Coturnix japonica: one gene and its partners. The protein of the gene in region 2 purifies or fractionates together with the protein of the main gene of each other region. This does not show direct contact. Links are inferred from orthologs where the notes say so. Each region holds a gene or a part of one and is shown on either strand. Other genes may lie near its edges.

Region 1 (3,746 bases), on a different chromosome or scaffold from region 2:
TGGGGTTGGGGGATCACAACACACATTACTAAAAAGCATTTTACTTGAATTACAGCACGTTTTCAGTTCCTTAATTGACTGCAGTGACTGGAAAGGCTACAGCTTATTTGAAAAGGCTTGATCAGCTAAGGAGAATTTGAGTATTGTCCTATTTTTTCCTGCCACACAATGTGATTCTTACATGGATCAAAATCTAATCCCATATACATCTACACCACACTCAAGGCTCTTCTGGACCTTCAAGCAGTATGAACTGAGGAGCAGGCATGTGGAAAATAAGTACACTGATATCAGAGAATGAACCCCTGGACACCCTCAGAGATTTCAGTGCACCCAGAACCTCATGCTTGAACCCAAGCAAATCACTGCTAAAATCAATCTGATGAGACCTTCAGTCAACCTGCAACAGGGATGCCTGAAGAACTCATGCAGCTTCTGATCTACTTGCCAATTACGAATATAAGAAGTTAGCCCAGACTACCTTAAAAGAACATTGATTACAAAAAAGCAGTTAATTCTTTATGTTTATTCACTCATCTTGCAGATATACTTGGTGCTAACGAAATCCACTAATGTTCTCACCCCAAAAGAACTCTGCTTCCTTAGATACAGCATGTGGATGACAATACTGGAGTTTCTACTTAACACCTCTTTTTAACCCCTTACCACTATACACAGTGAAACCACTGTTTTGCCACTAATCCTCTACAAGTTTTGGAGATAGCAACAAGTATGTCCTGACTGCAGTGTTGGCTTTATATCCCATTTGAAGTTCATGTTACAAAATACCAAAGACCAAAACCTGTCAAGCCCCAGAACCCCCTTCTGCTCTACTCTATAAGATAGTATGATTTTCCCTTATTCATGCTAGATAGCTCTTTATTCCCCTCTAAAAGTACTCTTGAAAAGAGAAGGGTTATTTTCTGATTCTTTTCTGTGGTGTTTCAAGCTGGAGACAAAGATTTGTATTAAAAGAAAAAGGACAGCCACAGCAGACAGCTTTGGCAAAACCTAATGCATCTGATAAAGGAAGTATCCAAAAGTCTTCAATATAGATGTCATCACTGGATTCGCATACATAATTTCAAGACATTATCTCAAGTGTGAGATACCAAGAAAGAAAAGTACAGAAATCTCTTCCAGTACAAACTCAACTACCTCAATTCCTGGTCAGTTCCAGAAGTGATGAGAAAGAATGAAGCAATGGCTTGAAATGAGCAAGTGGGCTTACAGCAGAGTATGAATGAATCACAGAATGGCTTGGGTTGAAAAAGACCACAAAAATCATCTAGTTTCAACTTCCCTGCTGTGTGCAGGGTCACCAACCACTAAACCAGTCTGCCCAGAGCCACATCCAGTCTGGCCTTGAATGCCTCCAAGGATGGGGCATCCACATTTAGATTATGTTGGAAATCACCACAATCAGACTTAAATTACTTTTCAAAGAGCATCCACTTTGCATTACATGCACAGCAAACTTATGTTCTCCTCTGTTTGTATTAAAAACTCAAAAGGAGAGATAAGGGAGAGAGAAGGACTACATTCCTGCCTTGCTTGGCCTTCAGTGAAAAAGCAAGAAAAGACTACATGTGGTTGACAGAAGCAGCACTGTCGAGGTGGACAGCTGAATCAAGAGAGGTGTCCAACTACTACCACTACCAGTGCCATACCTGCTGCGTGCACTAAACACACCTCTTTGGTTCGTGGGCAAGCAGAACAGGCCTCAGAGGCACACCCACGTGGGGGAAGAATAAAGAGGGTGGTAAATACCACAGTACAAACATGAAGGTTATTTCTTCACTTGTGATTGCTGATGTGTTTTAAGAGGGAACATACAAAACGATAGGGAGCAAGAAAAGAACCCACAAAACAGCCAGCAATGGCAGCTGGCTCCAGGGTGTTTCAGAGCCAAACACACCCAGCAGCTCTGAGAGAGACGAGAATGTGACAGAGACCCTCTCAGGCCAAAAAATCACGTTTACTCCAAAAGCTGTAATTCTGCTGAACGGGTTCTACACCTCTTCTTTGTTCTACCTGGCCTCACACCGCCCTCACACACATACCTGCCGTGCATTCTAAGCTGCCCCACCTCCCATAGCTATCAGAAGACAAAACCTCAAAATCTTTACTCCGAAAGCAATACACCCGCAGTCCGGGTTTCGAGCGGTGTATGTGTGTGTGTGGAAGAGGGAAGGGGGAGGAGTGGCGTCTCGGGGCCCGTGGCCCTCACGGCTCGCAGGGACGTCCCGCGGGGTTCCCCCCACCCGCACGGTGCCGGCAGCCCCTGGGCCACGATTCCTCCCACCCCCAGATGGGATCGCCCCCTCTGTTCGTATAGAGCACGGCGGGATCTCCGAGCAGGCGCGGGCCGGCCGCATTCCTCCCCCCACCCGAGCAACGTGCGGGCGGAGAGGGCCGGGCAGCGGCCGCCACGGGGCCGTTACCTTCCCCAGGCAGATGTGGCAGGTGATGGGTAGAGTGAGGGACAGCGTGACGCTCGGGCCGTGCTGCGCCATCGCCGCGCCGCCTGTACGGAAGTCACGGAAGAGCGAGCGAAGGAGAGAGCGAGCGGGAGGGAGGCAGCGCGCCGGCAGCCCCGCTACGGCAAGCCGGCGAGGCCAAGTGACGCCCGGCGCTGGGGAGGGGGAGAGGGGGGCGGTGCGCGCGGTTTTGAAGTGCTCCCCTGGGGGGCGGGAGGGAGCAGCGGGAAGCCCTATCGCCGACCTGGCGGCTCCCTCATGGCTCCTCTATGGTGCCCCACGGCTCCTCGCGGCCGTACCCCCGCGTAGCGCCGGGCCTCGCCGGCCCTCGCTGTGCCACGTGGAGGAGGTGGCCCCTGAGGGGCGTTAGGTGGAGGGAGGCTGCGGGAGAGCAGTTTGGGTCCTAGTCTGCCGTTCCTGTACAGGCTGGGAGGAGTGGTCCTTGAGAGCAGCTCGGCAGAGAAAAACCTGGAGGCCCTAATGGACGAAAGACTCAACATGAGCCAGCAGTGCGCTCTGGCAGCCCGGAAAGCTAATGGGATCCTGGGCTCCATCAGGAGAGGGGTGGTCAGCAGGGATAGGGAGGCGATAGTCCCTCTCTACTCAGCTCTTGTGAGGCCCCATCTGGAGTACTGTGTCCAGGTGTGAAGCCCTCAGTACAAAAAAGACATGGAGATTTTGGAAAGGGTCCAGAGGAGGGCCACGAAAATGATCAGGGGGCTGGAGCACCTCCCCTATGAGGACAGGCTGAGGGAGTTGGGCTTGTTCAGCCTGGAGAAGACAAGGTTGCGGGGTGACCTCATTGCAGCCTTTCAATACCTGAAGGGAACTTACTCCCAGGAGGGGAGTAAACTCTTCGAAAGGGCTGACAATAGCAGGACTAGGGGAAATGGTTTTAAGTTAAAAGAGGGAAGATTTAGGTTGGATGTTAGGGGGAAGTTCTTCACTAGGAGAGTGGTTAGGCCCTGGAACAGGCTGCCCAGGGAGGTTGTGGATGCCCCGTCCTTGGAGGTGTTCAAGACCAGGTTGGACGGGGCCCTGGGCAACCTGACCTAGTAAAGGTGTATGTTTGGTGGCCCTGCTAGGCAGGGGGGTTGGAACTACATGATCCTTGAGGTCCCTTCCAACCCGGGTCATTCTGTGATTCTGTTCCTTTGTTTGCGTTGTGCCACGCTATACATTGGCTGTTTTTTAACGTTTAATTCCCCTCAGCCTTCCTTTGCGTTTTTTCCAACTTGGCCCCTCACTGCAAGAAAGACATCGAGG
Region 2 (3,746 bases):
TGCACGATGTGCGTTGTGTGCTCCCAGGAGTGCAGGCACCCAGAGATACTGCTCAGTGTAATGCCTGGACCAGAGCCCTGCACTGTGGGGCTGCTGGGCTCCCTCCCAGCCCTGTGTGTGGAGATGGGGCTGCATCGTGCCCTGCCTCTGGGGTTACATGGCGATGGGGCTGTTTCTCTGTTTGCCTTATCACTCCTGTGGCTGTTTACAGACTTTTTAATGTATTTTCTTTCATTTTAAGTGCAAAACAAAACCAACCAAAAAAAAAAAAACAAAACAAAAACGAAAAGCCTGGATGACCTTGACTCAATAAAAGTGAACTTGTGGTGCGTACCTCAGGCAGGCCCAATGTGCTTTCTGCATCGCTGCGTTGCTTCGTGGTGGGAGAGACCTCAAAACTCCAGCAGGACCGGCTGTGGGGGCACAGCCCAGGGTGACGGGGCGGTTAATGTCCCAGTATTACGGTATGATTAAGGTTAGGAGAGCTCCGCCCCAAACCAGCCCGGCCCGTCCCCTCAGGGCCAGCACAAAATGGCGGCCCCTCTGGACCATACCACTGCGCCGCTGCTGGGGGGGGCACGGCACGGACCGCACCACTGCCCAGTGATGGGGGGGGGGCAGCGCAGTACTTTAGTCCGGCGCTGGGGGGCGTGTTGAGCGGGCCGTACCACCGCTATGTAGTGGGGGGGGGGGGCGGTTGGCAGGACCACACCACTGCGGGGAGGGGGAGGGGGAGGCAGTTGGGGGCTGCTCCCCCCGCCCGTCGTTCCCTTTGGCGCTGCCCGCTACTTCCTCTTCCTGCCTCGTGCTGATTGGCCAACCCGAGCGGCCAACGCTTGTTGATGGCCGAGGCGCATGCTCCAACCCAGGCACCCGCCGGCTCCCATTGGCCCGAGCGCTAGGACGGATTCCGGATGGCTTCGACCAATCAGCGTTCGCTCCTCACTCGGCGCTCAGGGACGGCGGAACGCTCTGTGAGGGTGAGGCGCGCCGATTGGTCAGCCTTCCCGTAGCCGTGCGCTCCGATTGGTGGAAAGCCGTGCGGAGGGGCGGGACCTTCGGCGCGTTCCTCCCCCTCCCCCCCCCGCTGTGGTGCCGCGAGGGGGCGGGGGAGGGGAAAGGCCGCGACGTGAGCGCGCGACCCTGTCCGCCATTTTGTAGCGCAACGGCGGAGACCAGAGGAGAAAAGCGCGAGCGGCCGCAGCCCGGCGCCTTGCTCCGGCCCCGCCGCCACTGAGGTGAAAGCTGCGGGCTGGGCCGCGGGTACCGGGGCCGTCCGAGGGGGGGAAGCAGTTGGAGGGGGAGGGGAAGAGTATGGCGGAGGTGCGGGGCCGGGCGGGAGGAGCGCGGCCTGTGAGGCCTGAGGCGTTCGTTGTGTGGGGGCCTGCGGCCTAGCGCGCCCTGCAGCCTCCCTAACGCTGCTCTGTGCTGACAGAGCGGAGCGGCCCGGCCCAACTCGGGCTGCCCCCCCCCTGTTCCCCCTTCACCCCCCGTTCCCCCTCCGCTTTCCTCCAGAGGCGGATGAGGGTCCTGTGTTGAGGCCCCTGGGCCGTCCCCTGTCTCGGGGTTGGCTGTGGAATCGCTCCTGCCCGGCTCGGTGGGCCCGGCTGAGCCCGCAGCATCACAGCGCCGCGGGGCAGGGAGCCGTGCTGCCGGGAGGGGCCGCAACAGTTGGCTGTGCTGCCTTGGTTGGATTAGTTCTGAGTCTTTGAGCGGACCTCTGCGAACAGCCCGGTTTCTGACTATCAGCAGATCACGAGTGGTTGGTTTGGGCTGATTTGTGCCTGTGTTTACAACAGAAATGAGGTAGCGTTAAAAAAAAACAACACACGGCTGGTACTTGAAGGCGTTGGAGCTCTGGAGCCGGTTGCCCAAGGAGCCTGTGGAGTCTCCTTCTCTGGAGTTACTCAAGGCCCCCCTGGCCGCTTTCCTGTGTAAGCTGCTTTAGCACGGGGTTGGATTGGAGGATTCCCAGAGGTCCATCCCAGCCCCTGCAGTTCTGTGATTAGTTTTTAGACACATCTCCAACTCACACCTGGCTCTGACCTTTCAGAAGGAAGTGTGCCATCTGCTCTCAATGAAACTTTCTTTTCCTCTTTTAAAGCAGGCAGCAACACAGGTGTGACCCTGATAAGTCGCTCCTAGCGCATGTAATTTGAGTGTTTCCTGTTTCTAAGGTAACCACATTGGCACTGACTGAATTCATAGGTGGGTCAAGCCTGGGTGAGGTGACTGTCACAACCAGGAAGCACACTGAGCTGGTAGTGAGTACATAGTGGAGTGTGACACTCTTTCTAGAGCGTTCTTCCCTGTGTGTGTTGTTTTCTGGCATTAGCCATTCATCCTATTGGCCTGCTTTCTTGAAGACAGGCTCACAACAAAATCACTTTATCACTCTCCTCTTTGGAGAAATACCTCATCGTGATTATCCATGTAGTGTAGCACAACCCAGAGTTTGGTTTAAAGTCATTTTGGAGTTGTTTTTCTCCTTACGTAGCTGCTAAATGTGTACTTGGGATTTGTTTTTGTTCTCCTCAGCAGTGAGGTTTGTTCCTCCTCCTCATCTGCTTCAGGTTAGTAGGGAGTGTTTGAACCTGTTGAAGTGTTTTGGCCACACCTGACTACTGGTTACATATTAGCCCTCTCTATCCTGTGCCTTTGGATTCTAGCCTACAATTGTATCCCACTTATACTGTAACCCAGCAGAACTTTGCAGCATTGAAGTGTTCCATGAGCTGCCCAGTCGTGTGTCTGAGGTCTCATTCAGTTACTCTATCGTAGTCCCTATAACTGCAAGTAGCAGTTTGGGTAGGAGGGTCCAGGCCTGATTGTTCCTAACCTGTCCAGGATGGAGATTTGCCCCAAGCTCTCAAAGCTGCTTGAATTCTTGAGGCCAGGGTGGGGGGATTGGTTCCGACTAAGAATATGCGCATCTAAAAATAAAGCCTGCCTTGCATAGCATTCATAGCTTCCTTAATCAGTCCCATAGAAATTTAAGTTCGGTCTTGCATACAATGGCCAGGGGGGTACCTGTGCCCTTCTGCTGTGCTGGGTTTTGGGTACTGCGATAAGTTTGGGCTATTGGAAGCTTTGAAGTGCTGTCAGTCTCCTGCTGGTGGGAAGCTGCAAGTAGCTGTGTACTGCGATACATACCACGCCAGCCATATATTTAGAATGTAGATAGGAAGCTGCTTCCTTCAGCTATTGTGTTCTGCCCTTGAATCAGGCTTTGCTTCTGCTTCCTTGGAAAGGAAAGCCCTGCTTTGACTGTAGTGTTGTGCACACAGAGTTGGTGGTCTCTGCTTTCCAGTGATGCTGTAGCTGGGCTGTGTCTGTGCTCTGCGGGGCTTAGTGCAGCAGCACGGAGGGTCAGGCTGTAGGCACGTGCTCTCCTGTGGCTCAGCCCAACTCTGAAGTCCTGGGATACAGAGGCTGATGTGCGGTGGGGTGAGTGTTGTTGTGCTTGTATGTGCTTGTATGGCCAAAGCAATGCCATTTCTCTTACTAGCAGCCAGAGATGGAAACTCTGAAGCTTGACTTATTGGCTGAAGAATGATCAGGTTGGGGAACTGCTGAGCAGCCCTATAACCTCTGTGCCCCTCCCCCCCCTTTCCTTACAGCTTCAGTGCTTCCACCCCTGGGAAAGGAAACAACAGGGCTGCATCCCAGAGCCGCTTCCCTTAGGATTCCTGCGACTGCTGGTTGTGCAGAACTTGCTTTGGGATGCAACCGTATCGTGTTGGCAA
Region 3 (3,698 bases), on a different chromosome or scaffold from region 2:
CCTGAAGGGAACTTACTCCCAGGAGGGGAGTAAACTCTTCGAAAGGGCTGACAATAGCAGGACACAGGGAAATGGTTTTAAGTTAAAAGAGTGAAGATTTAGGTTGGATGTTAGGGGAAAGTTCTTCACTAGGAGAGTGGTTAGGCCCTGGAACAGGCTGCCCAGGGAGGTTGTGGATGCCCCGTCCTTGGAGGTGTTCAAGGCCAGGTTGGACAGGGCCCTGGGCAACTTGATCTAGTAAATGTGTATGTCTGGTGGCCCTGCCAGGCAGGGGGGTTGGAACTACATGATCCTTGAGGTCCCTTCCAACCCGGGTCATTCTGTGATTCTGTGATTCTGTGTGATCTGTGATATTGAGGCCCTATAGTGTGTCCAGAGATGGGTAGTGAAGCTGTGAGGGGTCTGGAGCACAAGTCTTATGGGGAGCGGCTGAGGGAGCTGGGACTGTTCAGTCTGGAGGAGGCTCAGGGGAGACCTTATCACTCTCTACAGCTGCCTGAAAGGAGCTGTGGTGAGGTGGGGGTCAGCCTCTTTTCACCGGTAACAGTGATGGGATGGGAGGGAATGGCCTCAAATTATGGCACTGAGGGATGTGGTCACTGGGCATAGTGGGGATGTGCTGGTGGCTGGAATATGTGATCTTAGCCATCTGTCCAACGTTAACGATTTCATGATTCTACGATTCTAAGAAGGCTGGCAGACCAGCCTCACTCCGCGCAATGCCAACAACATGGCGGCCGGGGGGACGCAGCCAGGTTGCGAGGCGCATGAGCACGGCGCCCCTTCCGGGGGGAGGGGGGGAGCGCAGCGGCGTCGTGACGTCAGACGCGGTCCCCAGCAACGGCCGCACGTCGGTGGGCGCCGGCAACCCGGAAGCGGCGGGTAATAGGGACGGAGCGGCGCGTAGGGACCGGAGGGAAAGTAGTGCCACAGCGGCCCGGTGTTTGGTGGAGGAGCAGGGGAACGTCTCGTCTCGCGTGGCAACGGTGGCAGAGATGGCGGCGGACAAGACTGCGGGTGAGCGGGGGAACGGCCGTGGGCCCGGGCGGAGGGATACGCTCTGGTAACTGGTACGGAAAGGCCTGGAGGCTATGGCCGCTGGAGGTGCAGCTAACAGGTGTGAGATCTCGGCCTTCAGCTTGTAACCATAAAAGTGACTTTGCAGGAGAGCTTTGTTTAAAACACTTGTTCGTTTTTGTCTTTCTACATGTGATGTAGAGGCATAGTGAAGTCTGTAGAGCTGCCCTGATGCTTCCCTAGGAAATACACCATGTAGCTGTGTAAGTGGCACGTTTCCTGGGCAGCTAACAGTGTCTTTCATTTATTGTTTGCTTACCTAAAGATGTGTCACATCAAGGTTCAGACCTCTGTGAGCACCATATTGCTTGTTTTACCTGCTTACCAGACAAAGGCGGTACCCAGTGCTGCGGCTTTGCCTGGCCCTACCGAGAGCTAAACCTGTGTATGTGGGGAGCTCCTGGTCAGGCTGAGCATTAGAAACGTCCCAAGGTTTCGATTCTCACATATCTGCATTGTTGTTGCTTATGCTGGTGTAACCTTGAGGCCTGGGGAGCAAGTAAAGCAGATAACCTATCTGTTAGCATGATGGTGGGAGGGAAAATGCATTTATTTCTTCATTGCTGTTAAAAAAGGTCCTTGAAAGTCAGTGGGTTCTCTACCACAAATATTAAGGAGTCAGATCTATTACGTGGTTAGTATGAGGAGAGATGCTTCTTGTTCCTTTCCTCTCTGTCTGTGAGAAAACTGTGGCACATCAAAGCTTTTTGAACTTTTCTGATGTTTGTTTTCTCTCTCCTTATGGAAAAGGTTCCACTGGTGAATGCATTATCACAGAATGACCCGGGTTGGAAGGGACCTTAAGGATCATGTAGTTCCAACCCCCTGCCTGGCAGGGCCACCAAACATACACATTTACTAGATCAGGTTGCCCAGGGCCCCGTCCAACCTGGTCTTGAACACCTCCAAGGACGGGGCATCCACAACCTCCCTGGGCAGCCTGTTCCAGGGCCTAACCACTCTCCTAGTAAAGAACTTCCCCCTAACATCCAACCTAAATCTTCCCTCTTTTAACTTCAAACCATTTCCCTGTGTCCTGCTATTGTCAGCCCTTTCGAAGAGTTTACTCCCCTCCTGGGAGTAAGTTCCCTTCAGGTACTGAAAGGCTGCAATGAGGTCACCCCGCAACCTTCTCTTTTCTAGGCTGAACAAACCCAACTCCCTCAGCCTGTCCTCATAGGGGAGGTGCTCCAGCCCCCTGATCATCTTCGTGGCCCTCCTCTGGACCCTTTCCAAAATCTCCATGTCTTTTTTGTACTGAGGGCTCCACACCTGGACACAGTACTCCAGATGGGGCCTCACAAGAGCAGAGTAGAGAGGGACAATCACCTCCCTGCCCCTGCTGACCACCCCAATTATGTGCAGTCAGATTTCACAGTAGGTGTGTGTAGTTCTGTAGCACCCTCAGAGTCCATCCCTCCCAAGTACTAGAATTGCTGTACCCTGAGTTTTGTCCATTTCGCAGCCCATTGCTTTGTGACTCGCTGGTGAAAGATGGTTGAGTTTTAACATCTCAACTTCATGGGCATCATGATGCAGGGTGGAAGCCTCAGCAAGCAACAAATAGATTCTTGCTGAAATGTATGATTGTGTAGGATGGTGGAAAGTGTTTCCCTGCAGCAAATGCAACCCAGGAACTGAATGGTGACTGTGTTTTGATCCTGCCATGGATATTACATCGGGAATGTCCCTAGGCCTGGTTATTATTGTTGTCCATCCTCGTAAATAAACTTCAAGTGTTTGTAGCCAGTGAGTAGTGGATGATTCAGGTGTGTTGGTGCTTATGGGGAGTGTATTTTGTAGTGGAGATCGTAGAGGAATGTTCTCATTTGTTTGGTGTGAAAACAAAGTTAGCAGAGTTTGCATTACATCCTTTCTTTCTAGGAAAAGACAGACATTGAATATACAGTGCCCACCAAACCCATTAACATGGCAAAATACGGGCTCAAGCAAAAGCCTTGTTGTGGAATTGAAGAATTAATTATCTGCAGCAGTGGAAGCCATGGCAGGTGTATAATCTTTGTTTCAAAAACACTACGTGAACATGTGAGTTGAGGTTTCTAGATACAAGCTGGTCTGGTGTGGCACTGGTTGTTCTGGTTTTCCCTCCAGTAGTTTTGAATTTTATTGCAAAGAAATTGAAGACAATTAAAACCATGTTAGATTACTGTACAACTGCTCAAACCATCACAAATAAAACCTTACATGCTGGACTGGTCTTCATCTAGAAGGGAACATAGCAAAACTATAGTTGCAGCATTTTCTTAATGCTGTTCCCTACAAGCTGGCAGGAGGATCCTGAGAACGGGCACAAACAATGTTTTTTGAGCTGAATTACTTCTGTTGTGTTTACAAACTTTTCTATCATCCTTTGTCAGACCAAGGTGCTGAGAAGCACGATGGAGCTGGTACTTCAGGAATCACTGATCAGGAGAAGGAGTTGTCGAGCAGTGCATTACAAGCTTTTCTGGTAAGACACAGCCAAGCCCAAGCTTCTCTTCTACCACATAACTGCTAAACTGGTTGATAGAATTTTTTGTTCCCCAGTTTTCTTAGCATGGCGGAGAATGTATTAGCAAGTTATTATACTAAAATCAATGCTTGTATTACAAAGCCAGTGC

What was found. Proteins that work in one complex are often made in the same cells at the same time.
Region 1: the proteins of CNOT1 (region 2) and OBI1 purify together in Homo sapiens (affinity purification with mass spectrometry; 3 studies listed by BioGRID and IntAct, with this or other methods). This does not show direct contact. The link is inferred for Coturnix japonica from reciprocal best matches to the Homo sapiens genes CNOT1 and OBI1.
Region 3: the proteins of CNOT1 (region 2) and CNOT10 purify together in Homo sapiens (affinity purification with mass spectrometry; 4 studies listed by BioGRID and IntAct, with this or other methods). This does not show direct contact. The link is inferred for Coturnix japonica from reciprocal best matches to the Homo sapiens genes CNOT1 and CNOT10.

Annotation. Positions count from the first base shown.
Region 1 is NC_029516.1:137,625,503-137,629,248, reverse strand, and holds the start of OBI1 (ORC ubiquitin ligase 1), read right to left. Parts: upstream 2,630-3,746; 5' UTR 2,517-2,629; coding exon 2,445-2,516; intron 1-2,444. UniProt on the Homo sapiens protein: E3 ubiquitin ligase essential for DNA replication origin activation during S phase.
Region 2 is NC_029526.1:1,151,547-1,155,292, forward strand, and holds the start of CNOT1 (CCR4-NOT transcription complex subunit 1), read left to right. Parts: upstream 1-1,103; 5' UTR 1,104-1,238; intron 1,239-3,746.
Region 3 is NC_029517.1:37,319,726-37,323,423, forward strand, and holds the start of CNOT10 (CCR4-NOT transcription complex subunit 10), read left to right. Parts: upstream 1-815; 5' UTR 816-995; coding exon 996-1,017; intron 1,018-3,455; coding exon 3,456-3,547; intron 3,548-3,698. UniProt on the Homo sapiens protein: Component of the CCR4-NOT complex which is one of the major cellular mRNA deadenylases and is linked to various cellular processes including bulk mRNA degradation, miRNA-mediated repression, translational repression during translational initiation and general transcription regulation.